Macaca fascicularis: one gene and its partners. The protein of the gene in region 5 binds, or shares a complex with, the protein of the main gene of each other region. Links are inferred from orthologs where the notes say so. Each region holds a gene or a part of one and is shown on either strand. Other genes may lie near its edges.

Region 1 (5,126 bases), on a different chromosome or scaffold from region 5:
CAGAACCACCTTTGTGTGCTCTGCTTTGTGACTGGACCTAGTACTCTGTAAGCCACATGTTTCTTTGCTAGCTGACTCTCCATTAGACTCTGTTGCCAGTATGGGGTTCTCGTGGGAGATTGCATGGATGGAGGAAGACAAAGGGTTTTCTCCTTTTACTTTCTCTTGTCTTTCAGTTCCTTTGAACAAACCAGCAACACTTCTTCATCCTGGTTGCATCAGTTTTCCTGTAGCAGAGACTGAATCCTGTTTGCATTTTCTCTAATACACAACCCGCCTGAACCCGCGCTCCATCCCCCCACTCTGGCGGTGTGGATCGCAACCCCTGGGGCCCTCGTCCAAGCACGGATATATTAGTACTAGCTTATCTATGCCCATTCTTCCGAGGTCTGAGTTTCAGTTCCATGAAGTGGTTTCGTTAAGCGTCTAAATTTTAAAAATTCCAGCATTTTCCTCTATTCCCCCAGTTTTAGGGTTGGTGGCTGCTTCCTGTAGCTACTTTCATGACATCTTAATGTTCTCTTCCTGCCTTTTCAGCTGCCTAAAAACAACTTTATACTTGTTTAACAGTTCTTTATATTAAATTTTTTCCATTCCAGTAACTCGTGTGACTTCTTTCTCTTGATTATACACTGACTGATACCAGGAGGAGAAAATAGTATTTCAGTTTGACTTGAAGGAAGGGTAAAATTTCAGTAAGTGGCAGGAAATTTCACATAGGATGAATGTCAGCATGAGTAAAAATAGCAAAGATGAGGAAGTATGGTGTAAATTTGGGAAACATTTTGTATTCTAGGCTTTTTTGAAGCACAAAGTGCATGTTACAAGAAAAGACTATAGAGAAGTTGGGGTAGACACTAATTTGGAGGACCTTGAACTCTAGGCTAGGAAATTTGGATTTGATTGATAACAATTTTTTTTTTTTAAATGAAATAATGACCTGATTAGAATTTATATCTAGAAACGTTTGGATAATAAAGTCATGACAGATTATTCAGAAGAGTGAGGATTGTATATGGTAAAATCTTAAATGTTACTGGTTATGCTGGCCATCACTGTTTTCCTGTAGCATGTTCATTCAGAAAATACTGAAGGCCTTTGTGTTAGGAATGCAACAAAGAATATGGTAACAATCTCTGTTCTCAAGTGTGGTGGAAAAAAAAGATATAAACTTAGATAATTCTAGAACAAAGTGGATGGATATGGGAATGCATAGGGAATTATGGTATATGAAATAGAGCATAAAATATGGCCTGGAAAGGTCAAGAAAAACTAACTGATTTGCATTTCAAATGATGACTAGGAATTACCTATGCATAAAGGGGAGGGTATGAGCTGGACTTAAAGAACAATTCCCCGAACAGACAGAAAAGGAGAAAAGGATTGTTTTGGCAGAGTCTAATGGGAAATTATAAGACCTTTTTAAGAACAGGTTCGTTTTTTCCCTTCTTGGTGTGGTTTTTCTACAAACAGATAAAATTAAATTGTGAAGGAGCCTTAGCTGTTTCTTATGTAATTCATATGTATGCATCTTGGTTTCTAAAATCCTGTGGTTGTTTTTAATAGAGGATATATCAGATGAATGGATTTTAAGTAGTATCTTTTTACTAGTGTGTATACGGAAAGGATATGTATATTTGTATGTGTACGTGTGTATATGCAAATGTGTGTGCTTACAGAGAGGGAATGAGGGACACAGAGATAGGCATATCGTAGGTTAGGGAATTGTAATAGAAACTCAGAAAGAAATATTGGGGTAGCTACTGCATACATGTATAGTACTTCCTTCATATGAGGTAGAGGTACTATACTAGAGAACTTTTAAACCATATAAATTTTAGATTGAAAAATGTTTATATCAAAATTTAATTTGAGGGTACGGAAGAGTCAAGTGAAATGAAAGGAAAAGTACAGGGAAAGAGCTAGAGGGAATATTGTGGGTTTTGTCAACTTTTTCAACTTCTTCAGTTGAACCAAAGGTCATAAATTACGTGAAATAAAAGAGGGCCATTTATAAGAGACCTAAGTTTGAGAAATTTCTTAGACCTGTGTAATTAGAAAAAAGCAATCTCTAATTATATTTACCTATAGAGTTTATGTTCTCCAGGTGTGTGACAATTACATAGTAGTTGGACAATATCCAGATGTATGATGATAACTGTCTGAAATTGGCCTAATCTACATTTAACGAAAGTGTATATATTATGGGTTTTTAAAAAATTGTTATCATTTTTTTAATGTTTTGGTTGTTTAGGCTAGACAGCAACAAGCAGAATTGGCCCAACAGGAATGGCTTCAAATGCAGCAAGCTGCCCAACAAGCCCAGCTTGCTGCTGCCTCAGCCAGTGCATCTAATCAGGCGGGATCTTCTCAGGATGAAGAAGATGATGATGATATCTGAAATTCACCAGCTGAGTTTCTATTTCTTCTATAAATGTTTTTCCCTGCACAACAAAAACGGTGAAAGAAATGCTTATCTGTAATTTTGTATGCATCTTGGTGGACTTGTCATTGGTATTCTAGGGATGTCTGCTATTAAGTTTCATCTATTGTGTGCTATACATGTAAAAACTGTCTCTTTGAACTATTGAAAATTTAAGGTTCAGTATAATATCAATTTTGAATTTTTAATGGTGTTTATGAAATTTTAGATAGCAGCAAGTCCTTCATTTGATCAATAAACAGTGTTACAGAAAACTTCAAGTTTATAAAAATACAGTGAAATTTCTACAAAGCTCTAAATCTGCATTTGCATTTCCTCTGCCCTTTTAACTAAACTAAAACTTGTGAATTTTAAATTATTAAGGGGGGGTGCTGTGTGAATCAGTAGACATTGGATTGGGTTGGTGAAAGAGTTCAGTTCTGTAGTATCTGAATTTGTCTTTTAAAATGAGAACATATATAGGCAATAAATATATATGCTCAGATCAATATACTTGTTTAGAAAAACTTCAAGACATTAAAAAACTAGGAAGGAGTATGTTTAATAGTAGTTGTATAAATTTGGTGGTTATGTTTTTTTATTTTGTTTTTGTTTTGTGTAGAGGTAAAAACTATAGTTTTATTACAACATAATTCATTTTGAGCTCCACTATGACATTTCAAAGACTGCCCAGTTTGGAAGTCTGTCATGATTTATACTCTTTCGCTCTAATTCAGTAATTGTTGATAGTATTACTTACCTAGTCCATCCATACTCATATTATTCAAATATATAGGTGGGACTTTTGAAACAATTGCATTGATTCCCTTGGTTTAACTGAGGTTCATGAATATTCAAACCTTTGCTGGGGGAAAGAAATGAAAGTTAATGAGCATGCTTGCTATGAGAGAGGGATTTTTAATTTAACTTGTAGTTATAGTTTACTTATTGTTTTTAGAATTACTTTTACATTTTCCCGACTAGATGGCCTAGAGTCCAACATTACCTTTTGAGATGACATTATTGTCTCCATCATAATTGAGTGATAGCTTTAAAAAAAAGATTAGTTTTGCTTAAGAAGTTGTGTTACAACTGATCAGCCCTATATGAATTAACTGATCAGCCCTATATGAAACGTAAGTTGTGTTATAACTGATCAGCCCTATATGGAACATAAATAGTTTCTACCTGCTTATTAAAAGAGAGAAGCTTTAATTTGGTTCTAAAAAATAAAGTATGGTAGTGATTATAGGAATCCAGGATGTTGAAGAAATGGGATAGTGTCTATATTTTGGAAACAGAAAGGAAAAGTCACTTAAGATAGTATTAAGTAATTAAATTCCTATGTCAGTTGCCAAATCTTTTAAACTTATGTATTCACCAAGCCCAAAAATAGATTGTGGCTCCCAGGATTTCAATTTTAATTGGAGAGCTAGGTGAGTAAAGTTTTATAACTATTAGGTTTCTTAATGATCATATTTTGCAGTTTTAGTAAAAGGGAAATATTGTTATACATTTATTAAATATACTTCCCCCATGAAGTGAAAAGGTTAATTTTGCTGAATGTTTTAAGTTGAAGTTACTTCATGGATGTCATACCCATGAAGTGCATTTGGATGAGATAGAAGAAATTGTTTTTTAAAAAGTTTAAGTACCAAAGGTAGTCTAGTCTAGAACAATAATAAGTTAATATGTGTTGGCTTTTCTAATTTGTACTGTAACATCCTTATACTTTCTATTTTAAGTATATCTGTTTCTTAAGTAAACAACTTAGATATTTTCCACACCTTTTTTTTTTTTGATGCAGAGTTCAGGTTAATTAATATTTTACTGCATCTGATAATGTATTATACGTTTGAAGCCTAGTGACTTTTCATTTTGACATTCTTGTGATTTCATATGCTGTATTCTTCAAGCAATAAAATTGTGATGTGTTTTATAAATGGTTTTTATATTTAATGATCTATAGAGAGATTTCTATTATTACAATTTTTACTAGTTTCAAGAATCTTAGGCCCAGAAGACATTTTGGTCATTTGGTATGTAGTACCTGCCTTTTGTTTTTGTTTACTGTTATTTCAAAAAATGTGGTTTTACTTGTGTTTTTGTAATTTATAGTCGTAAGATCGAGGCATAACAAAGGTACTTATGCAATATTTTATTTTTAGATTTTTTTTTTTTTTTTTTTTTTTTTTAGCATTTGAGAGTCACTGTTATGTTTTGCCAGTTAAAATTTTTTAAATCTCTTGAAGAGAGAAACTAAATATTTAGCGTTCTCGAGAAATAAAGTTATTGTTCAGTAAGTATTTTTCCATCCCCTTGAATATATGTTATATATCTTTTTCGGCAGATTATCAGATTAATAAGTGTTTAAAAGGCATTGGTTTTTAAAACTGCATATACCACACACACACAGAACAGTACACAAATAAAGATTTTCACAAATTAAGCAAACTCATATACCAGTCTTCAGATCAAAATACAGAGCATTATGTATACCCCAGAAACCCTCCTCTTGCCCTGTCTTAACACTATCTTCTTTCTTGCTGAAAGTTACTATCCTGAATTCTAAAATCATGGATTAGTTTTGCCTGTTTTTTATTTTATGTAAATGCAATCATACGTAATACACATTTTTTCGTTCATCATTTTATAGTCCTGGAGATCAGAAGTCCAAAAGTCAGTTTCATTAGGCCTAAATCAA
Region 2 (5,126 bases), on a different chromosome or scaffold from region 5:
TGAGTGTCTGCAACTTTTCTAATTGCACAGTGCAAGCTGTCGGTGGATCTGCCATTCTTGGGTCTGGAGGACAGTGGCCCTCTTCTCATAGCTCCACTGGCAGTGCCCCAGTAGGGACTCTGTGGAGGGCTCTGCACTGCCCTAGCAGAGATTTTCTATAAGGACCCTGCCCCGGCAGCAAACTTTTGCCTGGGCATCCAGGTGTATCCATCCATCTTCTGAAATCTAGGTGGAGGTTCCCAAACCTCAATTCTTGACTTCTGTGCGCCCTCGGGCTCAACATGAAGTGGAAGCTGCCAAGGTTTGAGGCTTGCACCCTCTGAAACCATGGGCTGAGCTGTTTCTTGGCCCCTTTTAGCAATGACTGGAGCGGCTGGGGTGCAGGGCAGCAAGTCCCCAGGCTGCCTTCTAGGCTTCCAGGTCTATGATGGGAGGGGCTGCCATGAATACCTATGGCATGCCCTGGAGATTGTCTTGGGGATTAACATTGGGCTCCTTGTTACTTATGGAAATTTCTGCAGCCAGCTTGAATTTCTCCTCAAAAAATGAGTTTTTCTTTTCTATTGCATTGTCAGGCTGCACATTTTCTGAACTTTCATGTCTTGTTTCCCTTTTAAAATGGATGCTTTTAACAGCACCCAAATCACTTTTTTTTTTTTTTTGAGACAGAGTCTTGCTCTGTTGTCCAGGCTGGAGTACAGTGGTGCGATCTCGGCTCACTGCAACCTCTGCCTCCCAGGTTCAAGTGATTCTCCTGCCTCAGCCTCCCAAGTAGCTGGGATTACAGGTGTGTGCCACTATGCCCGGCTAATTTTTGTATTTTTAGTAGAGACAGGGTTTCACTATGTTGGCCAAGCTGGTCTTGAACTCCTGACCCCAGGTGATCCGCCCACCTCAGTCTCCCATAGTGCTAGGATTACAGGCATGAGCCACCATGCTTGTCCTTCAAGTCACCTCTTGAATGCTCTGCTGCTTAGAAATTTCTTCCACCAGATACCCTAAATCATCTCTCTCAAATTCAGAGTTCCACAGATCTCTAGGGCAGGGACAAAATGCCGCCAGTCTCTTTGCTAAAACATAATAAGAGTCACCTTTGTTCCAATTCCCAACAAGTTCCTTATCTCTATCTGAGACCACCTCAGCCTGGACCTTATTGTTCATATCACTGTCAGCATTTTTGTCAAAGCCATTCAACAAATCTCTAGGAAGTTCCAAACTTTCCCACATTTTCCTGTCTTCTTATGAGCCCTCCAAACTGTTTCAGCCTCTGCCTTATACCCAGTTCCAAAGTCATTTCCACATTTTCAGATATTTTTTTGGCAACACCCCACTCCTGGTACCAATTTATTATATTAGTCCGTTTTCATGCTGCTGATAAAGACATACCCAAGACTGGAAAGAAAAAGAAGTTTAATTGGACTTACAGTTCCACATGGCTGGGTAGGCCTCAGCATCATGGCAGGAGGCAAAAGACACTTCTTAGAGTGCAGTGGCAAGAAACAAATGAGGAAGATGCAAAAGCAGAAACCCCTGATAAACCCTCAGATCTCGTGAGGCTTATTCACTATCACGAGAACAGTATGGTGGAAACTGCCCCCATGATTCAAATTATCTCCCACCAGGCCCCTCCCACAACACAAAGAAATTAAGGGAGTACAATTCAAGATGAGATTTGTCTGGGAACACAGAGCCAAACCATATCAGAAATGTATTTCAAAAATTCTATATACAGTAGTAGTTGGCCCCAGTGGCTCTTTGGATAACAGAGTGATCATATAATATGACCCGTGTGTGTTACCTACTTGATAGTAGTGCTGGTTAATATTTAGTGAATGGGTTGAAGGCATAATATAGACAAAGTGAAGCCTAGAGAAGCTGGAAATCCAGTGTTCAATCCTGTATCTCTCTCACTGTAATGAGTTAAAAATTTTTTTTAATGATTTCGTAATTTTAAAATTACTATTTTGATTTTAAACAGCTGGGGTTAGTTTTTTATGTCTAGTTTTATGCAAAGGTGTCTACAAACTTTGTATTGAAGTTTGAACTTTCCAAATAAGTAATACAAAAAGACCTACTTTTTGACACATAAAAATACGATACTAATTATATGGAAATTAACCAATCCTCAGAGTAATTTTGTTTCTTTTTTTTTTCTTTTTTTTTTTGAGACGGAGTCTCTCTCTGTCGCCCATGCTGGAGTGCAGTGGCGAGATCTCGGCTCACTGCAAGCTCCACCTCCTGGGTTCATGCCATTCTCTTGCCTCAGCCTCCCAAGTAGCTGGGACTGCAGGCACACCTGCCACCACGGCCAGCTAATTTTTGTATTTTTAGTAGAGACGAGGTTTTACCGTGTTAGCCAGGATGGTCTCGATCTTCTGACCTTGTGATCTGCCCGCCTTGGCCTCCCAAAGTGCTGGGATTGCAGGCGTGAGCCACTACGCCCGGCCTGAGTAATTTTATTTCTGTATAACCAGTGTTTCTTTCTCATAGACTTCCTTGCCATCCAGGAAGGGATTTCGACACCAGACCACCAAGTTTTTGTATCGCTTGGTCGGATCAGAAGATATGGCTGTGGACCAGAGTATTGTCAGCCCTTATACCTCTCGGATCTTGAAACCTTATATCAGGTAAATGGAGAACTAGAGATGTGATGTCAGGTGTGTCATAAGAGATAATGATTGTGGTTTCTGTGCCCTATTCTCCTGTTGGAGAGAATAAAGATCACAAACTGTGAGCAGCATTGGCAAGGACTGAGTTCTGTGCTTCACCTCCAGTTTTGTCCTTTGCTTGTCTCAACTCTACTTTTTTACAGAGAACATGGTCCTTTGAAAGAAACTTAAAAAGGAAGAATAAATTAACTGAAAGATTGCTTTGTGATTATCATAATCATTATTTTATTATTATTATTATTTTTTGAGACAGACTCTCGCCCTGTCACCCAGGCTGGGGTGCAGTGGTGCAATCTTGGCTCACTGTAACCTCCACCTCCGGGGTTCAGGGAATTCTCTTGCCTCAGCCTTCTGAGTAGCTGGGATTATAGGCATGCACCACAAAGCCCAGGTAATTTTTGTATTTTTAGCAGAGACAGGGTTTCACCATGTTGGCCAAGCTGGTCTTGAACTCCTGACCTCAAGTGATCTGCCCGTCTTGGCCTCCCAAAGTGCTGGGATCACAGGCGTGAGCCACTGGGCCCAGCCCTCATTATGTTATTTTAAATACTAAAGTTGTATATTTTTAGTAGTCTGAAGTGAAAAAATGTGAAAGACGTCTCAGTTGAGCCTCCATCTAGACTGGATGTATATGAAACAGTTTCCAATAATGAATCTCATTGTCCAGGCAATGAAATGGAAGCTGAGCTTGCTAGAGAGGTCCCAGCAGTGTCTGGCACTGTAAATGAGAGCACATTATTGCACTCATTGCACTCCAACTGCCCTGAAGCTCCATGATCACCCTCACCCTCCATGCCAGCACCACATTCCTGGGCAGGCGCAGTGAGAAGCTGTTTATGAGCCTGCTCCAAGCTCACTTTGTCTCTGGTGTTCCCCAAATGCCCCACAAAGTTGAATGTTCCCTCTTCTGGCCTCCAAGGCACTGGAGATGCATCCTCATGTCTGACTCCTCGGGGTGAATCTGATGCTGTTTCTGTTTCCTCACTTTGTTCATGAAGGCACCTGGCACAGTCCCTGGTGGGTACAGAGGGCTTTAGCCTGATGAATGTTCAGAGTGAATTTTAGGTTTCATACATAAAAGTATAGCTGTAATCAAGCCAGCTTCGTGTAAAACAGTGCAGGTTACTTTAAAGTTTCAAGCAGATCAAAGAGTTTACATGAGTCAAAAAGCTAGGAATAATACCAGGTATTTTTCTTGACTTGAATTTGTTTATCTTCTGTGGTACCGGAGGCGTGATTATGAAACAAAGCCACCCAAACTGCAGCTCCTGTCACAGATTCGTTCCCACCTGCACAGGAGTGACCCTCACTGGACGCCGGAGCCCGACGCGCCTCTCGATTACTGTTACGTGCGGCCAAATCACATCCCAACGATCAACTCCATGTGTCAGGAGTTTTTTTGGCCTGGTATGTTCCCCCTCCCAAACCAGGCGGGTCATTTTTCTGTACAGTCCATTCTAGCAATTTTTAAAATTAGTTTATGTGATAGCCTTAAGATTTTTATTTATGATTTCATTTAGTTTGTCTCTGCTAATATAGAAATACTAAAATACAAATACCTCTTATTTTCCTAAAATCTAGAAGAAGCCAGCAATAAACAGTGTTTTTGTTTGTTTCTCTTCCCTGTTTGTCTCTGCTTCCAGAGTAAAAGATTCATCCTGTTTTGCTTCTGCATATATTTAGATACCAGGTAATGTCTATCAAAGATACACAGACTGGTAGCTTGGGCGTGTTTGGACACTTTTGTTTTTGGCTTAATAATTCTTTATGTTTATTTAGCTGTTCCTTAGAGAGTGTTAGTACAGCCAGAAGGTGTTTTTTAAAAGCCAAATACCCTGATCACAGACTTTGAGAATAAGGGTAGGCCCAGTATAATTTGTCATTTTATCAGCCTTAACAAAATTGCCTCTGAAGACCAAAGTCATTAATTAAAGGAACACATTTTCATTGCTAAATATAAACTGTTCTTTGTGGATCTGCTTTCCCATGCTGCCTTGAAACCTAAAGGAAATAATACGTACCTTTCAGGTGTTAGATACGATTTCATCAAGATTAGAGCTGTGTCGTCTTTATTGTCACATAATCACATAACCGTGCATGTGGTGGCAGAGCTGCACTCACTCTTTTGGGAGTCATATTGAGCCAAAAGTAACATTCTGGGATCATCTTCTGCTTCCTGCCCTTATGTTAGGTGCCTTCCATACATTATGCATAGAACCATATTTTACTTATTTTTTTGTGAAAGGTATCGTTTGTACAAAAGAGCTTATAAATTATATGTGTGTGGCGTAAAGGATGTGATAGAACACGCTCGGGGGGATCTTTATTCAACCCTGTCAGGTCTAGGTGTGCTCTTCATGTTACGCATTGCAGGAACGGAGTCTCTGAGACATTTTGAAATGTGCCAAGCCACACATGGTAGAGGAGGCTGTGAGTTCAAAGCCAGCTGTGTCCAAT
Region 3 (5,126 bases), on a different chromosome or scaffold from region 5:
ACCTCTGCCTCCCGGTTTCAAGCGATTCTCATGCCTCAGCCTCCCGAGTAGCTGGGACTACAGGCATGCACCACCATGCCTGGCTAATTTTTGTATTTTTAGTAGAGATGGGGTTTCACCATGTTGACCAGGCAGGTCTCAAAGTCCTGACCTCAGGTGATCTGCCCACCTCAACCTCTCAAAGTGCTGGGATTACAGGCGTGAGCCACTGCAACCAGCTTGGTTTTCTTATCTATAAATTGAGAAAGCTGGGAAGATAGTATCTGAACTACCTTCCGGCTCTTGTATTCTGTATTTTTAAGGAGAGAGAAAACTGTGTCTCTGTGTGTGTGTGTGTGTGTATGTGTGTGTGTATATATGTGTGTGTGTGTGTATATGTGTATATATATACACGTATGTATATACACGTATGTATACACGTATGTATATACACGTATGTATATACACATATACACATACACACACACACACACAAACACGTATATATGAGAGAGATTTTTTTGTTTGAATTTCTTCTGTCAGGCTGGGAAACTGTCATCAAAAGTTTATTATGAGATACATCAAAATGATCCCCCAAACTTTACCTTAGAAAGAGAGACTACCGCTTTGCTATTACAGTTGGAAAAAATAAGTAGGTGGTCTGTACCTGGCGTACGTGTTCAGAGCCCTACAAATCTGAGTGGCGTGGAGGCTGCCCCTGGCTTCCCTCTGAGTGTGCATAGTGGTCTTGCCCATGAGCATGCTCCTGTGTCCGCAGGCTGCTGGCCCCTCAGCAAGGGTTATTGATTCTATCAAAACAACTGGGGCTAAGCAGCAATTTACTCAATCTAGCTAACGATGGGAGTGACACAGCACACCACTTTGGGAGGTCTTAAAAACTGTGCATTTCTACAGTGTGCAATACTGAGTTTCAGAGGAAAGATGAACGGTCTTAGAGTCAAACAGAACCAGGTTTGTATCCTGTTTCACCACCCATGGCTCTGTGATCTCAAGCAAGTTATTCAACCCTGTTTATCCTCAGTTTCCTCATCTGTAAATGCAGATGACACCAGCTACCACACAGGAGGCTGGGATTATATGAGACAGTGAACGTACCCAGCCTGCACAGGACCTGGTACACTGCAGGCAAACACTAAATGCTTTCCTCACTCATAAACGCCAAATGCTAATACAGAGTTTTAACTGCATACAAAACAATTTATGATTTACATATGAAAAATGTAAAACATTCCTTCTAAAGAACAACACAGTAAAAAGAATAAAAAACTAACTGCATATGAATTCTAAAACCCTTGCAAATGAGCTGTATCTCTAGCTGAAACCTTATAAGGTAACTGCCATTATCAATATTAATTTACAAACCCAAGTGATTTCAGTTGACTCAATACCTTAAATTCACGGCTTTAAAAAATGCACCCCTATATTCAGTGTAATTGTCTTACTTTTTGCAGTGATTAATGGAATCTTCTTTACTACTGCTGTTAAGAGTTGCTGGATAGTCTCTAAATGGTCTATCCTGAGAAGGATAAAAAAAAAATAAGGCAATAAATTAAATACATGTAGCAGTTTCTATAGCCATATGTATGCCATATACTTAATGGATATATTCCATTCTGAGGGAATTATAATGTAAAAACATCATATTAACATGTCTTTCCTTCCATAGATTACCTTCTTTGTAAAGGAAAGGTGTTCTATGCTTAAAAAGAAAATGTCAAGACTAAATAAGATCCCAGGAATGGAAGATTATGCGCGTATTACAGACAGTTAATCTACACCTTAAAATTAAATAGCAATATAATCTTTTTGCAATGTGACTGCTACTAGGGGAGAAAAATTCTGTATGCCCATCTTAGGGTTATTACAGTTCACGCCTCCATCTACCATATTAAAGGGCTAAGTTTCTATTGTCCCCAGCGGTTTGAGATACTTAAAAGTAGCTGGTCAGAAGTGGCTTCCTGATTTAGAAATTACGAAACCTCAGAAAGCATTTTAGAAGAAGCAAAGAGTGTGTATAGCCCATGAAGAGGCAGCTAAGATTAGGCAGGCGTGTGGACACCCAGTCACAAAGCACGTATACACCTGAGTGATGGCTACAGGAGAAATTTTGCGCCCAGGGGCTCAGCAGAGAAAGCCCACGCTGGCAACCTCAACTGAAGGGAGGTCTAATCCCATCTGAGGCTTCTAAGGCTACAAATCAAGTGCCACCTCCAGTCACACCACTGTATAAAATGATGACCCTCAGCTGTGCATCACTTGTCCACTACACAGGCACAGACAGTTCCTCCCATCAAGGGCTTAGAGCTACACACACAACTCTGCACATACTCAGCTGTCACAGGTGTGACAAACACCCAAAGCGGAATTCCTTTAGGAAAGACTGGAAGAATTACTTAATGACATAGTTTCCCAGCTCAGAACTTTCTTCTGTTTTCACTGCTGTCTGACCCTCCTGAGAGAGGCAGCTCGGCCCAGGTGTTTCTGGTTCAGTCTTCACTACAAGGCAAGAGCAACAAAGAGGCAGCTGTTAGGGGTTAGCAGTGGAAGGACATGTGCAGGCACAAACAAAGCTCCTGCAGTGAAGCTCAGCAAGGAAACTGCCACTCCAGCTGTTGCGGGGACACAGCCAGGGGACTGAGATGGCTCCTATCATCCCAGGGTCATCAGACAAGGGAAGAACTGTTAGCCTGGGTCTCAGGGGGGACAACTCCAGCCTCATGACAGGGCGGGGGCAATAAAATGGCTCCTCAGATATTTCTTAAAGGGCCACCCATACTGCTGTGTAAGATCCCTCACCCCCTCCCCACACATGTGATTTAACAATGCTACATTGAAGTACAATGCTGGTTTGTTCTAAGTTCTAATATTGTGACCTTTCCAATATCATCTCTCCAGCTAGTTTATCAACTTGCAGCATTATCTTAGCGTTCTGAGACACAAGGCAGAAAGCAAAAATCAGATCGCCTGTGCTTGGACACTGATGTTATCAATGTCAGCGTGTTGCTCTAATCCACCGTGCTATCCTGATCTACTCTTGTGGGCGGAAATGTCTCCCACTGCCAGCTCGCCAAAGTCTGGCCCCTACCTAAACCTCCTTTACCACAACTATACTCCCCAAATGAGTCCCTCTAACTTGCCACTTCTCCAAAGGGGAAGCTGAGTCTTTGTCTCTCTTGTGCCCTTAATCTGGCATACCCCTTGACTCCCCACAGCTAAAAAACCTCTACTCTTTTAAAGTCCAGGTTATAATCCATGGTCAATACAAAGTCTTGCCCTTCTCCACACCCCCTGCCAACCCTGATCAGACATCCCAAACTGCAATATTTCAGCAATCATTTCCCTGGCCACATGTCTTGTGTTTATCAATGATTGCTTGCTGTCTACAGCAATTCTTTTCAACCTTATTATAAATTTATTAAAGGGTAGAAATGATCCTTTATACATCTCTGTGTTTCCCTCAATGTTAAGTCTACCATATGAGTATTTAGGACACATTTGCCAAGTGGTTGATTTGCAAATGCTGAAAATTCAAAAGATTCAGATTATGGTAATGTCCTGCATAAAACTTCTGGACATCAGAAGAGAACGTGAACGACAACAAAAAAGATAAACAACAAAACTTCTGGACAAGAACTCTGTGAGATCCTATGTACCTTTTGCAACAGCTGCTGGAGCAGAGCTGGGGACAAGTGGAGTTGGGGCAGCTACAGGCAGAATGGCAGGTGGCTTGCTGGTAGAAAATGACTGAACCACTAAAGGGAGAAAAGGAGGGAGGGATATAACAAATACAGAGATTATTTTTAATGAAGGTGATCTAACTCCCAGGTGATAACCCCACATGAGACGAACAGCACACAGACAACTTGAGGACAACAGGAATTGCAAAGTCCCTTTTTACTAGTGGGTGATTATTAGGTATGAGGGTAACTGAGGTATATCTTCAACTGTAGAAACAGGAGCCTGTCACTAAACTAAGAAAGTAACAAGCCAGGCCAGGCACAGTGGCTCACGCCTGTAATCCCAGTACTTTGGGGGGCCAAGGCAGGTGGATCTTCTGAGGTCAGGAGTTCAAGACCAGACTGGGCAACATGGTGAAACCCCGTCTTTACTAAAAAAATACAAAAATTAGCCAGCTACTCAGGAGACTGAGGCATGAGAACTGCTTGAACCCAGGAGGCGGAGGTTGCAGTGAGCCGAGATCTTGCCACTGCACTCCACCCTTGGCGACAGAGCAAAACTCTGTTTCAAAAAAAAAAAGGAAAGGAAAACAACAATCCAATTAATGTAAATTCTTATAAACACTTAAAATATTCCCCCTTCAACTCAACTTTAGATAAGGGCAGCTATTTAGAAGCCAACGAACATTTGGGTTTTGAGTCCTGGCGTTGGAGCCCTAGCATTCAAGGTGCAGGGAGTACCGTGATAGCTGAAGGGTGGCTGTACATGGGCAGAGCAGTCACCACCTGGTAAATGCTGAGATACGTGGAAGCGGCCACAGCACAGAGGCCCGTGGGCAAGGCACTCACCTTTATTCACAGGCATCAGGATCGTCTGCACCCCTCCAGACGTGTTTACGCTGAGTGGTTTGAGCTGGCTGGGAATCGTCAGGACTGCCTGCTGGGGACTGGCTTGGCTGGAGTGAATCTTTAACAGTCCTAGAACAAATTGGAAGACAAGGCCACGCTGAAGGTCAGGTGCTTCGGGAAAGTCCCTTATCCTCTGTGCCACCCATATTTTGTCATGGAGGAAGTTACCTTCCAGTAAACAAAAGAGCGAGAAGCAGGAGGCAACGGATGCTGTGGATTTCACAATAAAACATCGGCATGACAATAATTGTTTATTTATTTACTTTTTGAGATGGAGTCTCGCTGTGTCGCCCAGGCTGACACGATCTTGGCTTACTGCAACCTCTGCCTCCCAGGTTCAAGTGATTTTCCTGCCTTGGCCTCCCAAAGTGCTAGGATTACAGATATGAGCCACCGTGCCCAGCCCCTATTTATTTTTATTTTTAGAGACAGGCTGTCTCCCAGGTTGAAAAGTGCAATGGTACGATCATAGCTCATTGTAACCTTGAACTCCTGGGCTCAAGCGATCCTCCTGTCTCAGCTTCCAGAGTAGCTGGGACT
Region 4 (4,595 bases), on a different chromosome or scaffold from region 5:
TTTGTTAAATATACTAGTTTACTAATTTGCCATTTAAAAGCTAGTGCTTGTGTGAAACTAAGAAAAAGTCTAGGAAGAATTCATTAGACCAAGATTTAAAAGGCTCATTAGTGGATCAATGAGAATGTTGTCAGCTTCAACTGTAAGAAATTTGAACTCAAAATTGGCTTAAACATTATGTAAACTATAAAATAGGAAGTCCATGGTAGCACAAGCTTCAGATTTAATTGATTCAGTGACTAAATCATAATTGTAAGAAAATAGGTTTCTTTCCCCTCTTAACTCTGCTTGGTGTTACCTTCTTTCCCAGGCAGATGGCAAGATGGCTACAGCACTTTCAGGTGTCTTACCCAGATACAGCAGTATCCTGAGAAACTGCCTTCTTTGAGGGCTTTCTCTCAAAAGATGTGAGGAAGCTTTTTCCAGAAGTTCTCCTCTTAATCTCCAGCAGTCTTCTCCTTTACTCATTGGCCAGAACTGGACCCATGCCCATTTCAGTCACTGATAAGACCAGGAAGCCATTGGCTTGGGCCACACAGAGAAGCAGTGGATAGGTAGCTCCTTGCATAAACAACCACAGTGTCCATTATAGTCAGTCCAGGGTGTGTGTGTGTGTGTTTTCACCTCTTGGCCTCATATACCAGATTATATTTTTCCTTTGTCTATTGTCACTTCGCTTGTTCAACACCCTGGGATGGAAAGGTTATAAAAAAAAACTAAGCAGAAAATCCCCAGAGCACCTCTTTCCACAATCACCCAGGCTCATTAGAAGCTGGTAATTGATGGGAAAATATGTATTGCCAAAGATAAGCATGTTGCTGCAGTATTATTATTATATATTGTTAATGTCATCCTCTTTAGAGGGTAACTTGCAGAATATAAGGTGGATGTTGGTTACAGACAATAATTGGTATTGGTAAATTGGTTGGCTTTCTTTCTGTCAGAGTTCCCAAGGCTGTACGTAATTTGTACGGTATTTCATAAAGAAAAAAATAATGCTTAGATTTTTTTAAACGTTGATTACTTTTTTTTAAAATCTAGAGCTTTTCTGGAAAAAGAAGAAAAGTTCAACCACCTCAAGTAAGTTACTGCATTTTCATTTTGGTTTCTGAAATAGTTTGATTAGTTTTATACCTTTCTTATTAATAAAAGTTTCTACTATGGTTGCTTTTAGGTCATACCCTGGTACAATTTACGACTGAAGAAAAGGGCAGTATAAACTAATATACTTGAATAGAAAAATTCTTTTAAGGGCATGGAATGACTCAGATAGGTTAAATAAATAAAACCTTTGTCCTGCTTTTAGTAGTACAAGGATGTGTCATTCATCAAGTGCTTAAAAATAGTAAGTGCTCAAGTAATTTCAGTCTCCCCCCATCCCTTCCTTTTGTGAACACTTCTGATTAGTAGCATCTACATCAAAAAGGGTGTTTGGCAGAGTTTGACTTCAGCTGGCCCTGTCTAAAGTGCTACTTTACTAATTAGTTGAACCTTAAATAATAAGGCTTTGCTAGACTTTAATAGTGGTAATGTGAATTTAAAGTTGGAGAAGACTTTCTAATTTTTAAGAGTAGCATTTTTTTTCTTAAAAAATTCCGAGTAAATTTTTTGATAGCAATTATTTTTTCCAGAAGTAAATTATTGTAGTTGATCCCTCAAGAGAGAATTTCTAGGTATTTTAAGCAGTTATTTTTAAAGTTAACTTTTTTTACTATTGATTATGAGAATAATCAGGTTTTTAAAAGTTACTCTTATGTAGTAAACTGTAACACTTTGTTGCTGCTTTAAAAATACAATTCACATAACATAAAATTCATAATTTTAAAGTGGCTATTAGTATGTTCACTATGTTGTACAACCATCACCACTAAGTCTAGAACATTTCCATCACCGCCCCAACCCTGTACCTATTAGCACTCAGTCCCAATTTCCCTTTCTCTTTACCCCCTAATAGTCACCACATAATACTTGTGTCTAAATTAGAAATATTAATGCAAGTGAGGGTGTTCACATAGATAGACTTGAACAAATCCAATTTTTATTGGAAAGCAAAAGGAGTGTTTTCTTCACTGTTTTCCACTTCAGGTTAACTTTAGTAATCAACATAGAAAGTTTTCTATTAAAAGGGATAGCTGATATCTCAAATGATTTTTTTCTCCTGGTAGTAGTATAATTAGCATTTTTCTTCTTCTTTCCAACTTTTACTTAAGCTCAAGGGGTTTTCAGGTTTGTTACATGGGTAAATTGCATGTCACGGAGGTTTGGTGTACAGATAATTTTGTCACCCAGGTAATCAGCATAATACCCGATAGGCAATATTTCAGTCCTCTCCCTCCTCCCATCTTCAAATAGGCTCCAGTGTCTAATAATCAGGCTTTTTTTTTTTTTTTGTAAACTTATTCTTTCAAAGTATAAAAGGTTCAGGAGAGCTTAATCATTAGAAAAGAGAAATATTTAAGCCTTGTTATTTTATGCTTTTAAATTTATGATATAGTCAACATATATAGTTGTGCAGGTTTAAGATTATTCTCATGAGGGAAAAAAACCCATTTGATCATGCTTTTAAATATTTTAAATATTTATAGTTCATTTGGCACTTTATCTGCATTAAGATACTTCAGAATCTTATTCAGCAATTTGTGTCGTTATTGTTTACAGCAGAACTATTCACTGGCTGAACTTGATGAGAAAATTAGTGCCCTCAAACAAGCCCTCCTCAGAAAATCAAGAGAAGCAGAATCCATGGCAACCCACCACCTTCCATGAAAAACTCCTCTCCATCCTTGTCATTTTACTTTTTTGTATACATATGTGTAACTTACACTGTTATTAATTCAACGGATATATATTTATCAATGTAGACTTCTCTGTGAAGTCAAGGTTTATTTTCACGAGTCCAGCTTGCAGCAAGTAATCTTCAGATATTCCAGTAAGTTTTTAAATAATGAATGTGTTGAAAATAGCATTGTTGGAATTTATTCCCTTCTGTTTTAAAGGAGGTATTTTGGAAATTGAAAAACTTAATTTAAAAGTGCTGGTACATCTTTTTTCTTTTGTGGACCACAGAAAGGAAAATTTATTTTGATATTGATACTTTAAAAGGACTTTATATTTGTAACATTGGTGTTAACCAGTTTATTAGTTTAAATCAGTACTTTGCATATAATAGGCATTCAACAAAAATTTATTGACTGAAATGAATTTTAAATGGATGTATGAACTTGTTTTTCTTAATTTCTAAGATGTCAGTATTCATGTAAATAAACAATAGATCCAGCTTTATCCCTTTATTGACTGTGTGACTTTGAACAACTTACTTAATCTGTCTTTGTCCTCATTTCCCAGTCTGTGAAATGGGAATGACAGTAATAGAAACTACCTTACTGTTATGAAGAAGAGGTGAGATCATGTATGTTTGAAACTGTCTGTCTCAAGGGAATTGCTCAGTAAATGTTAGCTAATATTATAAAACCAGGTCTGGTTTTGGACAGCAATTAGGATGTTACAAAGAAATTATAGTACCTCTCTTTTGAGAGCCTCACCTTTACAATACCCCAGTTATTAGGCAGTACATACATTATTGTGTCCAGAATTGGTGGGTTCTTGGTCTCACTGACTTCCAGAATGAAGCCGCAGACCCTTGTGGTGAGTGTTACAGTTCTTAAAGATGGTGTGTCCGGAGTTTGTTCCTTCAGACGTTCAGCTGTGTCTGGAGCTTCTTCCTTCTGGTGGGCTCATGGTCTCACTGTCAGGAGTGAAGCTGCAGACCTTCGTGGTGAGTGTTACAGCTCTTAAAGGCAGCGCATCTGGAGTTGTTCATTCTTCCCAGTGGGTTCGTGGTCTCAGCTTCAGGAGTGAAGCTGCAGACCTTCGTGGTGTTACAGTTCATAAAGGCAGCATGGACCCAAAGAGAAAGCAGCAGCAAGATTTATTGCAGAGTGAAAGAATAAAGCTTCCACAGTATGGAAGGGGACCAGAGCGGGTTGCCACTGCTGGCTCGGGCAGGCTGCTTTTATTCCCTTATCTGACCCCACCCACATCCTGCTGATTGGTCCACTTTACAGAGAGCTGATTGGTGTATTTACAATCCTTGGGCTAGACAGAGTGCTAGACAGAAAAGTTCTCCAAGTCCCCACTAGGTTCAGCTAGATACAGAGTTAGCTATAAACAGAGTACCAATTGGTGTAGTTACAAACCTTGAGCTAGACACAGAGTACTGACTGGTGTATTTACAAACCCTGAGCTAGACAGAGTGCCGACTGGTGCATTTACAATCCTTGAGCTAGACACAGAGTGCTAGACAGAAAAGTTCTCCAAGTCCTCACCCTGCTGAGGAGCCCAGCTGGCTTCACCTAGTGGATCCTGCACTTGGGCTGCAGGCAGAGCTGCCCGCCAGTCCCCAGCCGCACCTCCCTCCTCAGCCCTTGGGCGGTGGATGGGACCGGGCACCACGGAGCAGGGGGCGGAGCCCATAGGGGAGGCTCAGGCCACACAGGACCCCACTGCAGTTGGGGGGCTCAGACATGGCGGGCTGCAGGTCCAGAGCCCTACCCGGCGGGGAGGCAGCTAAACTCGGTGAGAATTTGAGTGCAGCC
Region 5 (5,126 bases):
AAAAAAAAAAAAAAAAAAAATTGTTCCTTTTGTAGACAAATGAATTCAACCATTTCACTAAGTTTTCTAGAAGACAGTTCCAGCTGCTGCCTCTGGAGACAGCAGCTGGAAGACAGCTGGAGTAGGTTTTCCTCAGCTCTTGGGTAAAATTTCTAATGAGAAGTTACCAACAAGTAGGATTCTCCAAATGAACTTACCTAGTCTTATAAGGCAGAATTAATGAAAATGCTCAATAGCAAAAGTGCTCACTGATGTTGCTTTTATTTTTGTAACTTTTTCCTTCATTCCTTTTGGGGAAAACAGTGGAATTTGAACTCCGAAGGGAAATCAAGAGGCTCCAAGAATACAGGACAGCAGGCATTACCAATTTTTGTAGTAAGTATGCTTCAGCTACATACCGTACCTGAGGGCAAGTGTCTTCCAAACACACAGAGGAAGTCTCTGAGTTGTGAATTTTTTTTAAAACATAAGCTATTCTTTACCAGAATGCTTTAAATCTTTCCAGTAAAGTTTTGGCTACTTAATCCCTATAAATACCTTTACATAGATTATCTTTGGTAAAATAAAAGTTATGAGACAAAGGAAAGAGAGGTGCTGCTTTAGATTTAGGATTCTGCCAAGGCTCTTTATAAAAAGAGAATCTTGGGCCAGGTGCAGTGACTCTCTCACGCCTGTAATCCCAGCACTTTGGGAGGCCAAGGCAGGTGGGTCACTTGAGTCCAGGAGTTCGAAACCAGCCTGACCAACATGGTGAAAGCCCATCTCTACTAAAAATACAAAAATTAGGCATTGTGGTGCACACTTTAATCCCAACTACTCAGAAGGCTGAGGCACAAGAATCACTTGAACCTGAGAAGCAGAGGTTGTAGTGAGCTGAGATTGTGCCACTGTACTCCAGCCTGGGCGGCAGAGGGAGATTCTGTTTCAAAAAAAAAAAAAAAAAGGACTGTCACCCTTTTCAAATTTAATGATACATGGCCTTAGCATTTTTATAAAATAATGAAGCTTCAACTGGCTCTAGGTGCTTGTATCCCAGTTACTTGGTGTAGTGACAATAATTATATTATTAGCAGCTAACATCTATCAGATGTTTACCATGTACCAGTCTCTATGCTAACCATTTCACTTGGATCAAGTCACTGAATTCTCATGACAAACTTACAAAGTACCATTACTTCCATTTAATGAAGAAATTAAGGTATAAAGAGGTTACAGAGCTAGTTAGTACTAGAACCAGATCGTAAGAGATAGTGTATTATAGTAGTTAAGAGCTTGGGTCTAGACTTAAAAAGCTTGAGTATAAATTTTGGCTCTCCAGTTTACCAGCTCTGCGATGTGATTCTATCTACATTTCTTTTCTTTCCTTTTTTTCTTTTTTTTTTCCCCCTAGAGACTGGCCTTGCTATGTTGCCCAGGCTGATCTCAAACTCCTGGCCTCAAGCAGTCCTCCCGCCTTGGCCTCTCAGAGTGCTGGGATTACAGGTGTGAGCAACTGTGCCTGGCCTCTATTCAAGTTTTAATTTTCTAAGGTTCTTAGTGTAAAGATTTAATTAGAGATACTGCATATAAGCATAGCACGGTATCTGGCACACAATAAATCCTTAATAAATGGCAGTTTCTATTGTTTTGCTGTCATTGTTGGAATGATCTTTAGCACTCCCTCCTTCTTCCTATTTGAAGTCTTTGTGATTATTGACAGCTATCACCTACTACCTATAAGAAATAGTTGGCTTCTTTTTTTTTTTTTTTTGAGATGGAGTCTGGCTCTGTTGCGCAGGCTGGAGTTCAGTGGTGCCATCTTGGTTCACCATGACCTCCGCCTCCTAGGTTCAAGCAATTCTCTTGCCTCAGCCTCCTGAGTAGCTGGGACTACAGTCACACGCCACTATACCCAGCTAATTTTTTTTTTTTTTATATTTTTAGTAGAGACAGGGTTTCTCCATGTTGGTCAGGCTGATCTCGAACTCCTGACCTCAGGTGATCCGCCCGCCTCAGCCTCCCAAAGTGCTGGGATTACAGGTTTGAGCCACCGCGCCCGGCAATAGTTGACTTCTTAACACAGCCCTTTGGGTGCAACATAACCTTATGGATGTAAGTTCAGCCTAATATAATGGTTCTTTAACAGTGGAAACCATTTTTAAAATTAAATTTTGTGTGGAGCCCCAATCTACAAATAAGATAAAAGTGGAATTACTTTGGTTGAACTTTAATGGTTCAAGTTATGTGTAGAGCCCAGGACCGCTGGTATCTGGCAGTGCCCTTTCTCTTTACATTAACCTCTAAGATACTCCTATGGTATCCTGGGGCTCTGTGGAACCTAGTTTGAATTTTGAAACCCACTGGTGCAGTATTTTGGAATCTGTGAACCTTTTTTAACATGTAGAAAACACCACACAACTCTTCTGTTAGCAAGATGCATATAGAGACTCTGATAATTAATTTTGGTTTCCTGATATTGGCTGCCTCTGAGAAATATAGAGAAGAGGTACTACATGTCAAAGAGAACTCTTTTTTTGTAATTCTAATTGTTTTTAAAGGAAAGGCATATGCTTATAGCACATGTGTGACTTTGAAAAAATTTATAAAAATAGAAAAAACAGGAAGCAACTACGACTACAGTAAAAGTTGGTTACTTTTTGAGGGTGGAAGTATGAGCAATTCTTATTTTCTTTGTACTTTTCTATTGTTTTTTTTCTCCCAAATTTCTTACAGATAGAAAAGGAATACAAATATTTAATACTTAGTGTTAAGAAAAGGATTTCAAACTAGGGAAAATCTACTTGGGTCTTGGAGAAATAATTGTGAAAGCAGTTTTGCAAAGGAAATAGACTTTAACAACAAAACCCAAAACCAGTTTCTTGGTCAGTTAGAAAGCCCTTCAGTTCTGCTGCATTGTCATTGTGGTCACTGTGTTTTCTATACCCTCAGGTGCCAGAACCTACGATCACCTCAAGAAGACACGGGAGGAGGAGCGCCTTAAACGCACTATGCTCTCAGAAGTTCTCCAGTATATCCAAGACAGTAGCGCTTGCCAGCAGTGGCTCCGCCGGCAAGCTGACATGTGAGTAATTACTCCAGGGTGAAGGAGGCATTCTTTCTGGGATGCCTTGGCCTTAGCATGTATTTTTGGGCACCCTAGATGGCAGAGTAATAATAATTGAGTAGCTAGAAGAATTCAGAAATATTTTAGCAGTCCATCTCACAGAACCAGTGCCATACTGATAGTTTTGAGAAACAACTGACCTCCTAGAATCAAACTTTACTACTTTGATCTTATTTTTAAAAATGAGTGAATTTTCCCCTAGCCTTCTACCCATGACTTCAACTCTCTCTTCATACCTGGATTTTCACTGGAGAATCATGTTTGTATCCCTTCCCCTTGAGTGGTGTTAGTGGTGTTCTAGACTACAAGCTTTTCTTAACAAATCTGAGGAATTTTTCTTCCTTAGAACAGATTTGCTTTCCTGCTCAATACAGTGAGATATCTATAAAACATAGTTCAGTCTGTCTCGTTACACTTCTTCAAGGTGACCTACCTGATAAACGGCACCCAGTCTCACAGGGGCTTTTGGAAATCACCTTGTTTGATATGACCTAAGTTTAAATTCCTCTTCTTTGTTGTAGTGATTCCGGCCTGAGTCCTTCCATTCCAATGGCTTCGAATTCAGGTAATTATTTCTCAGGCCAGAACAAGTCTTAATTGTGAAGTTTGCATCGTAGGGGTTATGGTGACCCAGCAATCTTCCTTCCTCTGTGGTGTCAGGGTGCTTAGGCAGAATAATAGTAAACATCAGTATGTTTTCAGAATCTTCATGGCCAGACAGAGACTATCCTCAGAGTGAGAGTATAGAGAGCATAGAGACGGGAAAAAAGAACTTCAGAGAGGTAACTTATTTTACCAATGTTCATGAGCAATTAGTTTACTGCAGTTGTGTCTACCACGAATTTTGAGACTTATTTCACAGGAGATAAATTAAAAGCTTTCTATTTTATTATTTTTTATTTATTTACTTATTTTTGGAGATGGAGTCTTGGTCTGTCCCCCAGGCTGGAGTGCAGTGGTGTGATCTCAGCTCACTGCAACCTCTGCCTCCTGGGTTCAAGTGATTCTCCTGCCTCAGCCTCCCGAGTAGCTGGGATTACAGGCGTGTGGCACCATGCCTGGCTAATTTTTGTATTTTTGGTAAAGACACTTTCGCCATGTTGGCCAGGCTGGTCTGGAACTGACCTCAAGTGATCCACCCACCACGGCTTCCCAAAGTGCTGGAATTACAGGTGTGAGCTACTGTGCCCAGCCTAAGCTTTTTATTTTTATATAACATGAGCAAAGAAGCATGTTACTTGCTAGAAACATAAGGATTTCTAAGTTGGAGACCTAAAGTATTTTTATTTCTTACTTTTACCTCTTTGAGTATGTCCTAGTTTGAGATTAGTATACCGAGCAAGATTAGGCCATATGCTATCTGATGATCCTTGGTGATAGGTAATCGATGACTGGCAATTTGGGGAGGTATGTCTCAGCAGATTCAGGATCTGGGTCTCAGATTTGTCCACTTTAGGGACTTTTTTTTTTTTTTTTGGAGAGATGGAGTCTTGCTCTGTCACCCAGGCTGGAGTGCAGTGATATGATCTTGGCTCAGTGCAACCTCCGCCTTCCAGGTTCAAGCGATTCTCCTGCCTCAGCCTCCTGAGTAGCTGGGATTACAAGCACCTGCCACTATGCCCAGATGATTTTTGTACTTTTAGTAGAGATGGGGTTTCGACAGGTTGGCCAGGCTGGTCTCAAACTCCTGACCTCAGGTGATCCGCCTGCCTCAGCCTCCCAAAGAGCTGGGATTACAGGCATGAGCCACTGCACCTGGCCACTTTAGGGACTTTTTTTTCCCCCATTTATTCCTTTACTTCAAGTAATTTTTTCTTAACATGGAAGGAAGAAAAAGGTAGTGTTTTAGGGGAGTAGCCAAGACAGTGAAATCCAAGTTTTATTTTGTAAGTTTCTTATTGCCAACACTCTGCCCCCAAAATCTAAATACAACTAAGTTAATACTGACTAATTAAAATGAAGGAACTGGGCCAGGTGCAGTGGCTCACGCCTGTAATCCCAGCACTTTGGGAGGCTGAGGTGG

Evidence for each region. The genes of interacting proteins can lie anywhere in the genome.
Region 1: TADA2A (region 5) and DR1 share a complex: the UniProt entries of both Homo sapiens proteins name them as parts of the ADA2A-containing complex. The link is inferred for Macaca fascicularis from reciprocal best matches to the Homo sapiens genes TADA2A and DR1.
Region 2: TADA2A (region 5) and KAT14 share a complex: the UniProt entries of both Homo sapiens proteins name them as parts of the ADA2A-containing complex. The link is inferred for Macaca fascicularis from reciprocal best matches to the Homo sapiens genes TADA2A and KAT14.
Region 3: TADA2A (region 5) and YEATS2 share a complex: the UniProt entries of both Homo sapiens proteins name them as parts of the ADA2A-containing complex. The link is inferred for Macaca fascicularis from reciprocal best matches to the Homo sapiens genes TADA2A and YEATS2.
Region 4: TADA2A (region 5) and MBIP share a complex: the UniProt entries of both Homo sapiens proteins name them as parts of the ADA2A-containing complex. The link is inferred for Macaca fascicularis from reciprocal best matches to the Homo sapiens genes TADA2A and MBIP.

The regions. Positions count from the first base shown.
Region 1 is NC_088375.1:141,039,522-141,044,647, reverse strand, and holds the end of DR1 (protein Dr1), read left to right. Parts: intron 1-2,254; coding exon 2,255-2,401; 3' UTR 2,402-4,365; downstream 4,366-5,126. UniProt on the Homo sapiens protein: The association of the DR1/DRAP1 heterodimer with TBP results in a functional repression of both activated and basal transcription of class II genes.
Region 2 is NC_088384.1:69,102,624-69,107,749, reverse strand, and holds part of KAT14 (cysteine-rich protein 2-binding protein), read left to right. Parts: intron 1-2,490; coding exon 2,491-2,627; intron 2,628-3,900; coding exon 3,901-4,076; intron 4,077-4,312; exon of another isoform or gene 4,313-4,359; intron 4,360-5,126. UniProt on the Homo sapiens protein: Component of the ATAC complex, a complex with histone acetyltransferase activity on histones H3 and H4. May function as a scaffold for the ATAC complex to promote ATAC complex stability. Has also weak histone acetyltransferase activity toward histone H4.
Region 3 is NC_088376.1:95,715,267-95,720,392, reverse strand, and holds part of YEATS2 (YEATS domain-containing protein 2), read right to left. Parts: intron 4,656-5,126; coding exon 4,527-4,655; intron 3,753-4,526; coding exon 3,654-3,752; intron 2,497-3,653; coding exon 2,394-2,496; intron 1,517-2,393; coding exon 1,443-1,516; intron 1-1,442. UniProt on the Homo sapiens protein: Chromatin reader component of the ATAC complex, a complex with histone acetyltransferase activity on histones H3 and H4. YEATS2 specifically recognizes and binds histone H3 crotonylated at 'Lys-27' (H3K27cr).
Region 4 is NC_088381.1:104,133,035-104,137,629, reverse strand, and holds the end of MBIP (MAP3K12-binding inhibitory protein 1), read left to right. Parts: intron 1-1,041; coding exon 1,042-1,080; intron 1,081-1,174; exon of another isoform or gene 1,175-1,345; intron 1,346-2,658; coding exon 2,659-2,766; 3' UTR 2,767-3,282; downstream 3,283-4,595. UniProt on the Homo sapiens protein: Inhibits the MAP3K12 activity to induce the activation of the JNK/SAPK pathway. Component of the ATAC complex, a complex with histone acetyltransferase activity on histones H3 and H4.
Region 5 is NC_088390.1:43,518,640-43,523,765, reverse strand, and holds part of TADA2A (transcriptional adapter 2-alpha), read left to right. Parts: intron 1-242; exon of another isoform or gene 243-303; coding exon 304-375; exon of another isoform or gene 376-919; intron 920-2,928; coding exon 2,929-3,061; intron 3,062-3,536; exon of another isoform or gene 3,537-3,624; coding exon 3,625-3,668; exon of another isoform or gene 3,669-3,827; intron 3,828-5,126. UniProt on the Homo sapiens protein: Component of the ATAC complex, a complex with histone acetyltransferase activity on histones H3 and H4. Required for the function of some acidic activation domains, which activate transcription from a distant site. Binds double-stranded DNA.